Linked DNA regions of Drosophila melanogaster. The protein of the gene in region 2 purifies or fractionates together with the protein of the main gene of each other region. This does not show direct contact. Each region holds a gene or a part of one and is shown on either strand. Other genes may lie near its edges.

The links.
Region 1: the proteins of Cbp80 (region 2) and Paip2 purify together in Drosophila melanogaster (affinity purification with mass spectrometry; one study listed by BioGRID). This does not show direct contact.
Region 3: the proteins of Cbp80 (region 2) and Sgf11 purify together in Drosophila melanogaster (affinity purification with western blotting; one study listed by BioGRID). This does not show direct contact.

Annotation. Positions count from the first base shown.
Region 1 is NT_033777.3:12,979,022-12,986,120, forward strand, and holds Paip2 (polyA-binding protein interacting protein 2), read left to right. Parts: upstream 1-2,024; 5' UTR 2,025-2,366; intron 2,367-4,713; 5' UTR 4,714-4,718; coding exon 4,719-4,862; intron 4,863-4,925; coding exon 4,926-5,026; intron 5,027-5,089; coding exon 5,090-5,219; 3' UTR 5,220-6,467; downstream 6,468-7,099. Other genes in the region: CG7091 (uncharacterized protein), read left to right, coding at 1-89, 148-456, 515-797, 934-1,175, 1,232-1,396.
Region 2 is NC_004354.4:4,648,196-4,653,259, reverse strand, and holds the start of Cbp80 (cap binding protein 80), read right to left. Parts: upstream 3,211-5,064; 5' UTR 2,931-3,210; coding exon 2,888-2,930; intron 2,829-2,887; coding exon 1,490-2,828; intron 1,429-1,489; coding exon 1,325-1,428; intron 1,306-1,324; exon of another isoform or gene 1,208-1,305; coding exon of another isoform or gene 1-1,207. Other genes in the region: CG15473 (uncharacterized protein), read left to right, coding at 1-1,207; torsin, read left to right, coding at 3,495-3,687, 3,746-4,575; mRpL30 (mitochondrial ribosomal protein L30), read right to left, coding at 4,671-5,064. UniProt on the Drosophila melanogaster protein: Component of the cap-binding complex (CBC), which binds cotranscriptionally to the 5'-cap of pre-mRNAs and is involved in various processes such as pre-mRNA splicing and RNA-mediated gene silencing (RNAi).
Region 3 is NT_037436.4:18,680,146-18,683,444, forward strand, and holds Sgf11 (SAGA associated factor 11kDa), read right to left. Parts: upstream 1,692-3,299; 5' UTR 1,544-1,691; coding exon 953-1,543; 3' UTR 892-952; downstream 1-891. Other genes in the region: CG32202 (uncharacterized protein), read left to right, coding at 2,132-2,232, 2,294-2,618; Chmp1 (charged multivesicular body protein 1), read right to left, coding at 3,074-3,299.

The DNA.
Region 1 (7,099 bases), on a different chromosome or scaffold from region 2:
AGGCTGTGGCCTACATACTGCTCCCAGCAATGGCGCACTCTAGTTTCGAGGCCGGAGTGGTTGATCTGGTCATCTGTGGTTTACTGGCGGTAAGGAATAGCATCATTCAGATACTAATAGATATATATAGATCCTGCTACTTGACAGGGCTGTGGAAATCCGGCAATGTATAAACTGTTCGTGACCTGGGCTCATCCCACAGAGAGAACAGCGCTCCTGTCCTTCGCCTACAGTGGTCTTCTGATGGGCTCCATGTTGGTTTACCCGGTGGCCAGTTATCTGAGCAACTTCGGCTGGGAACTGTCCTTCTATGTAGTCGGTGGAGTTGGCCTCTCATTCGGCATTGCCTGCTGCTTTCTCGTTTACGACACCGTGGAGCAACATCCAAGGATATCGAATGAGGAGGTGGATTACCTGAGGCAGGGCAAGAGTCAATTGGGACAGCAGCGGCAGCCAGTGAGTAGTTCCTTGTACTTTTAACTTTAAAATTATAAATTAATTAGCTTCTTTTTAGGTGGTAACCATTCCCTGGAAGAGCCTGCTCGCCGCGCCGCCCGTCTACGCCTTCATCCTGACCCACATGTTCCACACCTACACCTTCCTGGTGATTGTGCAACTGATGCCGCGATTTATGCGCGAGGCCATGGAGTTCGATCTCCGCGAGGTGGGCTTCCTCTCGGCGGCGCCGTATCTGGGCGGGATCTGCTCGAAGGTGATGTGCATCCTGGGTGGCAGCTATGTGGAACGACGCGTGGGTCCTGACCAGAATTGTGTGCGAAGAATGCTGTACGGGATCTGTAAGGCATACCGATAATCGGAGTGCCACAGACATCTATAAAGAACACCTTCCCTTAGTGGATTCCTATATAGATTTCCGTAGCATCTCCAGAAACATCACCAATCTCTCTTTTATATCCCATTTTATAATACCAGGCAGCATCCTGACCACTTCTTTGATTGGGGTCATCATCCTGGCTAATTGTGATGACAAAATACTAGTACTTGTGATGTTTGCCTTCATGATGGCCACTACGGATATGGGTTTCAGTGGCTACTGGCCCACGCTGCTCTACTTTGCGCCCTCCTTCGCGGGATTGCTATCGGGATTGGCCAATGGAATGGCCCATCTTTCCGGATTCTTAGCTCCCCATCTTGTGGCCGCTCTGGTCCACACTGTAAGTTTAAATACAAGTAGTTTATGATTAAACTGATTTATTTATGTACCTCGCAGGGCAGCAAGGATGAGTGGAATGTGGTGTTGATGACGCTGATTGTCTTTAATACGATGGCCATGTTGGTATTTGCATTTTGCAGCAGTACGAACCTACAACCTTGGGATCCTCGTAGCAGAATGGAGAAAACTGCATCACCAAGTGCTCAGGAATCAAATAGTTAGCACTTATTTGTTTAAATGTTTTAACTTTTTTGTACTTTCGAAGCATTTTATTTGTTTACTATAAATGTAGAGTTAATTGTGTTAAAATAAAAACAAAATAAATGTAAATATACAATATACATATCAATTTAGTTTAAAATGATAATTGAACTTTCTTCAACGCAATCTTCAAATAAAATTTTTAAAAACCGCGCCTAGCACATAGTATCTTTCAATCTTATCGATAGTTTTACCGTTGTATAAAGCAAGCTGACAAATGTTTCACAACGACCAGTTTTCTACATTTCAAGTACAAAATTACACAAATATTCAATAATTCAAAAATATGTGTGAAAGCAGACATCTATTGGCAGTCAATGTACTAAATGCTCATATTCTTTACACGCCAATCGATAGCTGTTTGATTTGACGCATAGATTTGGTTTGAGTCCCGGCTGAGAACTGTAAGACGAAGAAATAGCTCATTTACCTACTTTAATGGTGCTAAATCGCATATATCACAATGCTTTAGGAAAAGTATTAATATTTCTAGAAAGCGTATGCTATAACTCTTTGTGCTATACTATATATAGGTGGAAAGACATCGATAGTCGCAGGGGAGTATCGATGCATCGATAGTGCCATCGATGTTTCTCCACCTTGCTTTATTAATCATTTCAATTTTTTTTCAATTCGGTTGCTTGACGTTCACTGACGTGATTCCGCACACAGCACATAGTCGAATACGTTTCGCAATAGAAATATCAAAATTCTCCGTGTGGACTCAATCTGGATTGGATGCAACACTAAATTACCAGTGTTTTCCTCGATTTTCTAGCGACGCAAAATTCTCAGTACAACCCAAAAAAAAAACGGAGAGTCTCTTCAACAACAAAATCAAGCATCATCGATAAAAACAACAAGTCTCCCGGAGGAAGTGGCTCCAAAATATCCAGTGCAACAGCGGACGAACTTCTCGGCAGGATTGAGAGTGAGTAGATCGGATTAAACAAATTAAATAATCCCAAACATTGTACATATGTATATACATTTATTTGTGCGCGGGGAAAGGCGGAAGTCAGAGAACTTGGCTTCCTGGTTTTTCATTTACCTTTTGGCGCTTCCGCCAAAACACTTAAACGTTCACTTAAAACCGCTTCTGGACAAATCAATAAAGGCCAAGTGTCGGATCGGACATTACCTTGGTGTTCCCTACTTACACTTGAAAAAATTTCGTTTAACATGGTAATAAAATTAATCAAGGCTATTTATTGCACATCACAAAGAAAGTTTATGACTTTATCAGTTAATTAACTACAATACAAGGGTATAAAAGTCAATTGCTTTTCAAAATGTCTCAATATAATAAAATTTAAAATCATTTCATATGCCTAACATATACATATACATATATCATCTTTCAAACCTACTAGTAGAAATTCGAATTTATAATTACCAAGTAAAGTGATTTATTGCCTTGAGTGTACTTCAAATAAAACATTAAATGCTAGAAGTCTACTTTTTTTCTTCCTGTGTACGTGTGCGTGGGCCAAGCTAGACTCCAAGTACACGAACCCCAAGAATATTAATGTTTAAACTTTAAACACTTGTTACCTTGAATGAAACAGTGCGCTGTATGTATTATCATTGCCGCTGCTGTTGTTGCTCTTTTTTTTGGGTTGAGGGAGGTTCATTCAATCGGGCACACCAACACCACTGCACTTGAGAGCCCATTTGTGTGTGTGTTTGTTGTTGCCTCCTTTGTGTTTTCTGCATATTCACTTTACATACTAAATGTATGCACGAATTTCGTCAAGTCCGCCGTGCAAATACATTTTAATTTTCGCAATTTCATTTAAAATATGGACGCTTAACTTAACATCTACTTGCAATTCGATGTGCTTCACTCGTGTGCGTGTGTGTGGCAGCACGTACACCAGTAAAGGGCCAGAGTTGCCATCCTAACTTCTTTTTTCCAAGCACTTTGTCTTGCTGATAAAAGCAGCTGATTTTTATAAATAAATAAGTAAAAGTTGGAAGACGCAAAAAATTCAATTTATTGATAGTGCGATTTGACCTACCAAAGGCAATAAAAATCTAGAATGGAGAGTAATCATTATCTTGTGTGGAATAAACATTCACGCAAAACTTGCCTATGTATGGAGAACTGTAAACAAATATTCGCACAGCCGCGGGTAACGAACTAGGCCCTCAATAAAAATAAATAACAAAATATATTATTTTCGATACAAACAATTCATAAAAAATGTCAAACATTTGCTCTTAAACTGACGTGCAATTATTAGTGCGCAAATATTGTAAGCAGAGTAAAAAAGAATGAAATTACGTGATTAAAATATTAATGTCCTAAAACTGTATTATAAAAATATGTACACAATCGAACGTTACAGGCACGTTCAACATGATAGCTAAGCCCACAAACTCCTCCGATGACAATCATCGCCTTTGGCTTATTGCGTTTTGCATAAATACCGCTCTTGACTTTCGTGTTATTTCACACGTTTGCTTGTTTGTTTTTAGCTGATAGCGGCATTTATATACGCCATAAAATGTTTAGCGGGGCTAGAAGTGATACGAGTTGTGAGCCTATACATTTCTAATCGGATGTAGTACTGAATTATAGACTACATTATATGTATATAGCATACAAGTATGTCCACTTATTTGGGGCTCTTTTCGCTTTTGCACCAAAAGCTGAGTCACTTTGTTTTCAAATTTTTGTGTGCCGCGGCCACAACGCAAAAAATAGACATCACTAAACAAAAAAACGTTGCGCAAAAAGAAAAGAGAAAATGTTCACTTATTTATATAAACAAATAGGTATTAGTGTTAGCCACTACACCTGTATAGGTGCGATTTTTGTTTTGTTTATCTCGTGGTAATGACGGAAAACCGGTTTCGTAGAACGAAAACACAACTGCTCCGGCTTCTTGCCGGTTAAATACGATTTGTTTAAATACAGAAGAGCCTGCCTAAGTCAAACGAAGCTAAAAAAAAATTCATTCAATTCATTCAGTAGCACAGCAGAAGAATTTGTATTTTCAATATTCGTTGGAGTAGGCTACAAGAAATATGTATGTTTGAGAACCTCAGAAAAACTCTGAAACTCCTGAGATTAAGTTGTAATTAAGCAATTTATAAATCAATCGAATGCCTTATATATAGACATATTTCCGTGGCACCTCAGATTCAAATGTTTAAATTGTATTTATTAATATAATATATTTCTCATAGTTTGAGCTTAATCGTTGAAATATTAAGAAATATGAGACCAACTGTTGATAAGTTCGCTTTTAGTAATCCAAAATCCCTTACAGCCAATATGTTGTTAAAAGTGCCATCTGTGGACTGGACGGATCAAATAATTTACGTAGTGGACGACGACGAGTCGCTGTCAGACATCGACGATGAGCCAGATTTTTCCGAATACATGTGGATGGAGAACGAGGAGGAGTTCGACAAGAACGTAAGATTAAATCTCCTATTTATGATTAACGAATTAACTAATACATTTGCTATCTGATAATAGGAACTGCAACGGCTGGAGGAGGAAGAGATTATGCAGGAGTGTTTTGAAGCCATGATAGAAGACGAGCTGGAGGAGCAGATCAACGAATGGGAGAAGGCCAAGTGAGTAGTGGCTATCCGGTTAACATTGCTGAATTAAAGCTAATTTGCAATCGCTTATTTCAGGACGGACGAGCAGAACACGGCACTTTCCGCACTACCCAAGAGCCAGTGTGATGTTGAAAAGTCTGTTCTGAATCCGATGGCTGATGAGTTTGTTCCGCGTTGTCATGTTATAGATTTCCCTGCCTCATAAAGCCAGCCCATATCTCCTGCCCGCCACAGAATCACAAACTACCCCGAACCCGTACCACGTGGACCTCATACGCGAAAAACCTTAGATAAACTGAAGACCCATTGCTAAGACTAGACTAACAGATTCCGCTAATGAGATTGATATTGATATTCTGACCAAGTTGAGCCAGATGGAGCATTGGGAGCAGTGGCTCATGAATATCTTATTTCTAGATACCAAAATGCTGGAAAAGAAAACTAAATATACCAACAAACTCCAAATGCTGGCGACCGAAATGCAAACGAATCATATTAAAAAAAAAACCTTATAAAAAACAACTGAACCACTGCAAAAATACAAAAAATATGTTTAAAAGAAAAACCAACAAAGAAACAAAAACACAACTTAAACTAAGAACAGACAAATAACAAAATAACAACTATGCCACGTACATTAGAGTACATTGAAATTAGAGTTAAAACCGAATTGTTTGCCGTGAAATTCGGAGCCCCAGAAATTCCGAACCTAAAATGTTATCGAGAAACGCAGACGCAGGCGCTTGCTGAAGCTAGTGAAAACTTTGGTATTAACGTACAAAACGAAAACAAATGACTTTTTACAAGCAACTAAATCTAAACTACAACTAAACTATGCCAATTTCCAGCTAAAGCAACTGTAAGCAACAAACAAGACTCGATTGTGTTAGAAACAAACCAAGAATTTGTAGCCGTCATGTCGTTAAATTGAAATTCTATTCAAAGACTTTAATCGTAGTTTAAATTGTAATTAATTTAACGTCCCGCCCACTGTCTACACTCGATTTAAGTTGATCATCTTTTTTTAATCTTTCACCATTGTTAACTCGTTGTACGTTCTATGCCCAAGTAACAAGAAGCGCTTGTTAACCTTCCCTACTGACTCGCAATATTTGTAATTTACCAATATAATCTAGTGAACTAAACGAATCGATATACTAATGTTTAACGCCTCTTTATACAAACATCATGCATAAATATGTATATCTAGTGTTAATGGAGGAGACAACAGACAACAACAACGCTGCAATAACAAGTAGTTTGTAATTTTAAGTATAAAATTCGTTTGATGCAAATGCACAAAGCCCTCATCGATTTGTTAATATCGTTAAAATTCGTTTCGGCATGTAGACAAAGATGAATTTCTATTTTTTCAATCAACTTAGATTTAGTGACTTAAGACAGCATTATAAGATCTACTACATTACTTACGTTACGTGTGATATAAAGATACAAAAAAACAAAGCAAAAAAAATATCAAAAATGATTTTAAAAATCTCAATAAAAAGAAGTATTATTATGGCATAAAAACTTGGTAGTTTTATTTTTTTTATATTTTTTTTCTTGCATAGATACTATGGAAAGTGAATCAGAAAGATAATCGAATTTACTGATCTTCATTTATTTTATTAGCATCTGAATTATTATATCATATTGGAAGAGCATGAAAATAATAAGATCTCTAAACATTAAAAATATTCTTTATCAAAATTTCATTGCACGCTTAATCATAACTTTTTACATACTTTTCATACGAATCTATTACTTTACACGAATAAATAAAGAATATATAGTATACGTAAGTTGTTGCGGAAAGGTTTTTGTAATTAAGCAATATAAAAGAAAAACATCCTAAAATCGGATAAATAATAAACAATGATTTGTAGTAATTGAAATTTGATAAAGTTTTTATTGCTTATAAAATGTTTTCAATTTCAAGAATACCGCTAATGCACTGCACTTTCGATAAGTTTTGTGTGGAACAATACCGATACCCATATCCAAATACCGATACCAAAAATGGCGTCGTGATTTCCCAGTTGATTTTCCCAGAAAATGCAGCATATTTCGTGGCCCAATAACGCA
Region 2 (5,064 bases):
AAGCTATCCGACTGCGCTGAAATTTGGAAATCATCCGGAATTGGAAAGATTCCCATCACACAGCGGTGATTTGGGTAATGCTGGTAATGTTGGTCCAGCGGTCCCTGGGGATTTGGCAGGCATTTCGGGCGCTGTAACCCATCATTTCCATCACCATTTCTATGTGGCACCTGGTGCCGGCGATGCCCAATTGCATCCGGAATTGGGCTACCGCTTGCCCAACTCCTCGCCACCGCAACCGATCACACCGGCTGGCAATCCGTCCTCAAACTTATATACCCATCATCAGACAGTGCAGTTTCCCAGCTCCAATTCGGGTTCTTCCGAATCTCTGGAGGAACAAGATCAGGATTTACTGCTGCGGACACCACAAATTTATGGGCAGGCTTCCAAGTATCAAACAGCCAAGCTGCCACCTTTGCTTATCTATGCGGGCGGCAATTCCGGCGATGATGACAAGTCCTTTGTGCAAAGCGAACCGCTGGAGGAGACCGTCTATCGCTATTCCGAGCCGGATCCTTTATATGTCCACCAGAACCCCATCGATGTGCTGCAGGATAAGCAGCCGCCGGAGGAGGAAACCGATAAGGGACAGCATCAGGAGCAGGCAAGTGACCAAAAGCGAGGGGAACAGCGCCCAGTGGTCAGTTTGGAGCAGCCCGAACTGAGCACAACTGTTTCAGCGCCATCTTCCAACGCTGGCACAACCACTGAGACTGCAAGCACTGAGAGATCCACACACGTCATCCCCACCACGATCGCCAGTTTTGTGTCCACCTCCACGCACTTTAGTCCATTGCGCTCCATTAGTAGGTATCGCACCACGCCAAAGATAACAGCTGGACGATCCACCACAACCACTACATCCACCAGCACGGAACCACCGCTGAATAAGTGGGCCAAGCGGCGAAAGGAGCAGGACAGCAAGGCCAAGAGCAGTCACCGCCACGAAGCCTTCGTTAGCACCACTTCGTCAACCAGCACGACAACTTCAACCACAGCAACTCCGCCGTCCACAATCGCTGCATCCACTGGCGTTCCATTGGCGTCGCCACTGCCACCGGCACCATCCAAGGAAGTGGTGGAGGTGCTCACCCAGAAATCGGTTAGTCGATCTGTGAGCATCAAGGTGGGCGAGAACGGCGAGGAGATACCCATCATTGTGGACGACGAGGAGAACGAGGTGAAGCCAGTGCTGACTAATTAGCTGCCTACCCATCTATCTTAAATCCTAATTATCCTATCCTATATTTAAGCCTAGCCGTAAGCACACTTAATCCCACAATAAATTCAAGTAATCCGTACGGCACGGGGTCAGACTCACCTGCCTCCTCGTTGGCGTACTTGTAATTGGGCACTGGCGTCAAGGGAATCAACTTGGCATAAGTCGTTGGCATCATTTCCGTAATGCGCTGATGATACGAAAGGCTGTCAAAGATGTATGTAGTTGAGTATCAATGGTTTGTACACAGACACGGTTATAACCTACCGTAGGCACTTCTGCAACACCTCCTGGATGAATTTGGGACGCGGATGCTCGCCGTCGAGGAGCAGACAGCTGTCCCATTCGTCCCATGACCATGTGAACTTGAAGTTGCTCAGATGATAGGAGAACCAATTGACGAACCGATCGAAACATGACGTGTTCATCGAGTCGATGCGCATAAAGAGGATCTCGGTGGCCTGGGCCAGAACCTGGGGCAGCGTGGCCGGCTGCAGTTTGCAGAGTTCGATCAAAATGGAGCCGTAGCAGATGTCCAGATAGCGCGGCGTGGGCATATGAAAGAGCTCGGCGAAGACCACCTCGACGATGCAGTACTCCAGCGGGATCTTGTGCTTGTACGGAAAGCTAAGCAGCTGGGCGGCGCAATCCTTTCGCTCGTGATGGTATGTTTCAATGATATGGTGTAGATGCTCCTCAATCAAAAAGCGCTCTATTGAGTGGGCACCCGGCAGATTGGGCCCATCGGGGCAGTCGGTGTAGTCGAACATGCGGTACACCACCCAGGGCATGGGATACTCAAAGTTGTCGTGATGCGGCGGCGGCACAATCGTGGGCAGATTGTGCTGCAGTGCCTCGCAAAGTATTGAATCGAATACGAGATAGGGTCGTGGTATATGCTTCTCCGCCCAATTGTCCTGCCGCAACTTGCGTATCTGCGCCCACAGGCAGTCCAAGTACTCCTCCTGTGGATGCGGAGCGTCTGAGGACCACACCCTCAGCGCATTATGGTGCTTCTTTGAGCGTTTGTTTAGATAGACCTCGATCCTAAGCAACAGGGACTCCAGGGCAGACTCCTTCTTCTCGTAGAGATCGCGACCCACCCAGGGTAGCGTGGAGAGCACAGCAAAGACGAACCAATCGCGACGCACCTGGGGCACTGTATCCTCGTTGGAGACATCGATCATGGTGTCCAGCAGCTGGAGGAGACTGGTGGCCGAAATGACGTGGCAATTGACCAGGTCGGCCAGAAAGCGCAGCGAGTAGCGGGCGGCATCCCAGCGGCACATCTTGAGGGACTCCTTGAAGGTCTTCACCATGTGATCCACGAACTCGCCGCCAAACTTGTAGTTCTTGGCATTGAGCAGGCCCACCAACGTGGTGTAAACGGTACACTTCTCTGGCATTCGCACGGCGCAGTCGGACAGGATGCGCAGGATCTTCAGGCGAAACGTGCCCAGATCGGCCTCCAGAACGGAGACGAGTCCCTCTAGGTTCGATTCCACGGAGGAGGTGCTACGCTCGCCCACCCGCAGTATCAGCGACTCCAGACGATCCTCGATCTCCTGGTTTTCGGACACACGTCTACGCTTGTTGCGCCGATGATCTGCAATTAAATGCCCCCATAAATGCTTTGCGTTCATGATTACATCGATGCCCACTTACCATAGCCCTCATCCTCCGTGTCGTGAGCCCTCCTGCGACTCATCTTCCCGTGAATTTTCTGTGAATTTTGCGGAAAACACCGATTACCGATTGGTCCTTGGCCACCGGCAGACAGAAAAGCACGCTGATGGGTACACCTCTTGGACCTGGACTTTTTCGGGGATCCTGGACAGGATACGCTTGACGGATGGGCCTTGTTGGTGCGTCTAGTATTTCACTGCGAGCGTCAATTAGCTTGCCAACTTTCAAAACAGCTTTGTCACAATTTTCACAAAAAACGCGATGCGATGCTATTTTTTTTTTTTGCCAAAGAACTAAAGATGTGCCGCCATCGATGGCAGGGTTTATCGATAACAGCGGCGGCGTAAGCGGCGGACTGAAAATGGGGCCTGAATAAACGTTTTCTTTGGCGCCATATGCGCAGAATTGCGGCATACTCAATTAACCAAAACATACCACTGACTGACTTACAATAAAAATCTGTTGAATGCCACTGCTACACAACTATCGATAGAAACGGTTGCCGGCAAGTGCTGCAATCTAGTCTTATGCTGCCTATCGCTTTTGCCCATCTATACATTCCACCGCGGAATTTTCCTTGCATTTTATGATGAGCTTTCCACGCATGTTATCACTGTGCCTTAGCGTGCTTGTAATACTGCCGCTTCCCCTCCAGTCGGTGGATCCCCTGACCATTGGTGCCGTTGGCGCCGTGGCCCTTGGGGCGTACTTCAAAGAACATACATATTGCCGGTTTGCCGAATGCTGCGATGACCGAAACATTCCGGCGAGAATAGATGGTGAGTGAGTAGTTTTGTATGCAACAAAATGACTAACCAGTACAGTGGGTAATTACAGAATTAGAAAGATCCCTGGAACGCACCCTCATTGGCCAGCACATCGTGAGGCAGCATATCGTCCCCGCACTGAAGGCGCACATCGCTTCGGGCAATAAGTCACGGAAACCGCTGGTCATCAGCTTTCACGGCCAGCCCGGTACGGGCAAGAATTTTGTGGCTGAGCAAATTGCAGATGCTATGTATTTGAAGGGCTCCAGGTCGAACTATGTAACCAAGTATCTCGGACAAGCTGACTTTCCCAAGGAAAGTGAGGTGTCTAACTATAGGGTGAAAATCAATAATGCGGTGCGCGATACCTTGCGTAGCTGCCCGAGATCTTTGTTCATCTTCGACGAGGTGGATAAAATGCCCAGCGGAGTATTCGACCAGCTCACCTCGCTGGTGGACTACAACGCCTTTGTCGATGGCACGGATAACACAAAGGCAATCTTCATCTTTCTCTCGAACACGGCGGGCAGTCATATAGCCAGTCATCTGGGTAGTGTGATGAAGAATGGTAGGCTGCGCGAGGACACACGACTGAGTGACTTTGAGCCCCTTTTGCGGAAGGCCGCCTATAACATGGATGGCGGTATGAAAAAGACCACCATGATTGAGTCTCATGTTATCGATCATTTCATTCCGTTCCTGCCGATGGAGAAGGCGCATGTGATCAAGTGCCTGGAGGCGGAGCTTTTAAGGTGGCGGCGCGATCCTAAGCAAGCGAACAACCAAAAAATCATTGAGGACATAATAAACTCCTCCATTAGTTACGATCGCACGCACAGCTTGTTCGCCATTTCGGGCTGCAAGACGCTGGAGAAGAAGGTGGCCATGGCCATTTACTGAGAAAGGACCGACCGACTCCACATTTTAATGCTTAGTTTGGGTTTCGGTTTGTATTTAAAAAACTATTTTTTCGGAATAAAGAAAACAAATTTTAACTACCAGGGATTTAGCCACTTGAGGCGGGCATCTTTGCGCAGCAGATCGGTATCCAGTCGCTTGGGCTGCTCGTCGTAATCCTGGCGAGCCGCCAGGCGGGTATCGATGGGTCCCAGGTCCTTGGTTACCAGGCACTCGCCGTTCTCCTTGAGTATCGTATGCCGGACATCCTGGGCAGTGGGCTCTCCGTAGGGGAACGTGACCGGCGTAACCTTAATTAGATGCTTGATCTTCCACAGGCGGGCATTGTTCTCCGGTATGTTCTTGACGACAGTAAAATCGCTCTGCTTTCCGTCTAGTCCCAGATCTTTGAGGATTCGATTCTCCCAGTAGGGATTGCCCTTTAGCGGCTTGATGCGCTGCACCCGGAAAAGTTTCGCCGGCTCCACGGGT
Region 3 (3,299 bases), on a different chromosome or scaffold from region 2:
CGAAACGGGAGCCTTGGGTCTCCAAGACCTTTAGATCCGCCAACATGCACACGAACTTTACCTTTAAATATGGGCGAGTTGAGATTAGAGCTAAAATGCCCAAAGGCGATTGGTTGTTTCCAAGTGAGTGGATATTTAGTTTTTATAGCTGGTAATCACTACATGGTTTTGATTACTTTAGACATTCTTCTGGTGCCCCGTATGGATAAGGCGGATGACGATTTTTTCGATCATATTCGCTTGTACGCCAGGGGAAATTTACTATGGGGACGGATTTCACGACTATTATCTGGCAGACTGACAAAATTATCTTTAAGTTCGATGGCGAGTTCTTCGGAGCAGTAAACAATCCGACACTTCTTGAACCATTTCGAAAACATGAGGTAAGACGCCTTCCTCTAAAAGATGTAATATCTCTATGATCTTTCGTTTTTAGTGCCATCTAGTCCTTGGCCTAACCGCCGGCGGCAATGTTAATTTCAATGACGACATTCTAGAAATGAAACACAAGCCCTTTTTAAACACCCACCCCAAAACTGACAAACAATTCGAGGAGTTGTCTAGAAATTCGGACTGGACACCCCTAGTGGTCGACCATATCCGGGTGTTTGCCATTGATAAGGAAGGAAAATAACCAAAATATATACTCTTTAAGTTGTAAAATATAAAACTAAGGCTTGCTTTCATATTATTACATTGAATTACTTCATTTAGCACCAGGAAAGTCTATGTTTAAAAGCGCCTATTTGCTGAAAAGTTATATTACCCTTGTCCTATGATATCTAGATATTAATTGATTAGATATTGCCACTAACTGCTGTCCTATTCAAATGATCTCAAAGAAGAGTAGGGGTCGATCACCAAAATCCCATTAGTTTAGAATACATTGGTGACTGATTTAAAGGTGTACTTTTATGGCAGAATAAACTACGAAAATGATTGTTAGCTCTGACTAAAAGGTTTTGCCATTGTTCTTCTTGGAGCCGTTGTTCCTTGAGTTCTGGTTTGATTTCTTTCGACGCTTGTCGGACGACCAGTCCACGTCATCCTCATCATCAGTGCCTCCGGTATTTCCCGAAGAGTGCAGGTGGGCGGATGTGGCGCCCTCTTTGGTGGCCAAGCGACGAGAGGCAATTCGCGACGAGATACGACCCATGCCCATGCACTTTTCCAGGTGCGGGGCGAAGCGGGCGGCGGCCACCAGGCGATCACAGTTGGGGCAGGTGCAGTCCATTGGCTTTTTGGCCGTTGAGATGCCGAATATGTCCAGGTTGGGCATCTCGCACATTCGATAGGTTGAGTCCTCCGGCACTCCGTCCAGGGCGGCCAGATTCCCTGACTTTCGCAGATGATGTGTCTCGTTAAAGATTCCGACTACGGCGTCGTCGAGCAGCGACTGGTACAGATAGTTGGCCGCCTCGTCGAGGTTCTTCGGTTCCTTGATCAACTCCCGGAAGTGGTTTACAATCGTAGTGCTAGTTGTGGGAACTTGGTTTCCCGATCCCTGAGCTCCTGTTGTCGTCGGCATGTTGGCTGCAGACATAATAGTTGGCGCAAACACTATATCTATTTGCTTCTGGCTGTCTTCCTGTCTGCTCTGGAAGATTTGTTTGGCATGCCGGTTGTTGTTGTGGAACTACATAAGTTACTAATTGTGGGTTTGCTTAACACGGCTGTTTGCAAAATGAGAGAGTTGCCAGGCTGGTGCAAATAGGGGTAAATAGTTTTAAGGAACTAGATATTCAATTTAAATAGTTGCATCTAAAAGTAACAGCTTTAACCGTTATAGCAAATTATAAAATTTATATTATTAACCAATTTAAATAGTTTATATTTTCATTAACTTATAATTTTAAATGCATCAGGTTTTGTCATTTCATAAAACGAGTATGTAAAGTAATTATTATGACCAGTTAAATCTTAAATTAAAGACAATTATGTCAAGCAGTTTTTATGCACTTTTGCTAAATTTAGTTCAATAAGTGAACTAGTCCTTTTTTGAATAAATATGACGTGGCAACGCCTGTACCGACAGACGGAGCAAGAAGAAAATCGCCCATCTGGCCACACTGAGCCATGGCGTAAATAAAAACATTTCTAAATATTGAACTATAACCAATATCTGTATAAAATGTTGCTAAATAAGAAAGAACTCATGTACAAACAGCTGGTGGAAAAACTGTATGACAGGTGCCAAAGGATTCAGGCGGAAAATGAGCGATGTGTGATGAGGTAACCGTCATTTTTATGCTCCACGAAACGTAAACAAAAATGTGCAGTACCTTTTATCCAGAGTAAATGGGATCAAAAAGATAGTAAGAAGGCGCAATCATGACGTGGAGCTTCTAAAACGGCGACTAGATAAGCACGGAGACGACTGGCGATCCGTTCCCATGGAGGCTCCACATCCCAAAGGGAAAACCGAGCAGAAGCGTCGAGGACCGAAGCCCAAAAACAAGCAGGCGGCGGATGAAACAGGAGCACCCGGGTCTGAGCCTGGACCCAATACTCCAGCTGCCCGGAAACCCCGAAAGCAAAAAGCCAAACAGGCACCCATCAATCCCAATCCAGTCATTGCACCACCGCATCAACAACCTCAACCTCCACTGTTGACCTGAGTCATAGCGATTGCTTGGCGTGTTCTAGTTTTAAGATAAAGGGCTTGTATACTTTTAAATATAATATTAAGACAAATAAAAGCTAAGACCAGAAATGAATTATAGTAACCAAAGCAATGAAAGTTGTGATTGCTGCAGAACCATTTCTATTTCCAAATTATGCTATATCTTTCCAAGTAAACAAGTTACAAAAATTGGCAGGTCTTCAAATAACTATAACAACAAAGCCTTTAAAACATGATTATCGTATATTGCATTAGAAAAGCATGTAAATCATAATCCGTTTGAAGCCTATACAAACAGCACACTTACACTTAAAGATTCATGGCAATTCTTCTGATTATGGTAGACAAAGCAGCATCGATAGACTTCCAATCACTGAGTTTATACTTATTTATATTTTGAATGTACTTAATTGCTAAAACAGAAATTCAACGGGCAGGGCGTCGCTATTTTTATTCAGCCTGGCGGAGACGTGCCAGTCGCTGGGTGAGCTCGTCTTGCTCTTGGGACACTGCTGTCGAGGCTCCAACGGATTGGCTCTGAACTCCGCTGGGCAGCTCCATGTTGAGTTCGAGGCCAGCCTCGTCGGCCACTTGCTGGAGCAGATTGTCGACATCTCCCTGAGGCACCGAGGTGGTTACCGTGTCGGACATGGTGCCCTCCATTACCGAGCTCTGG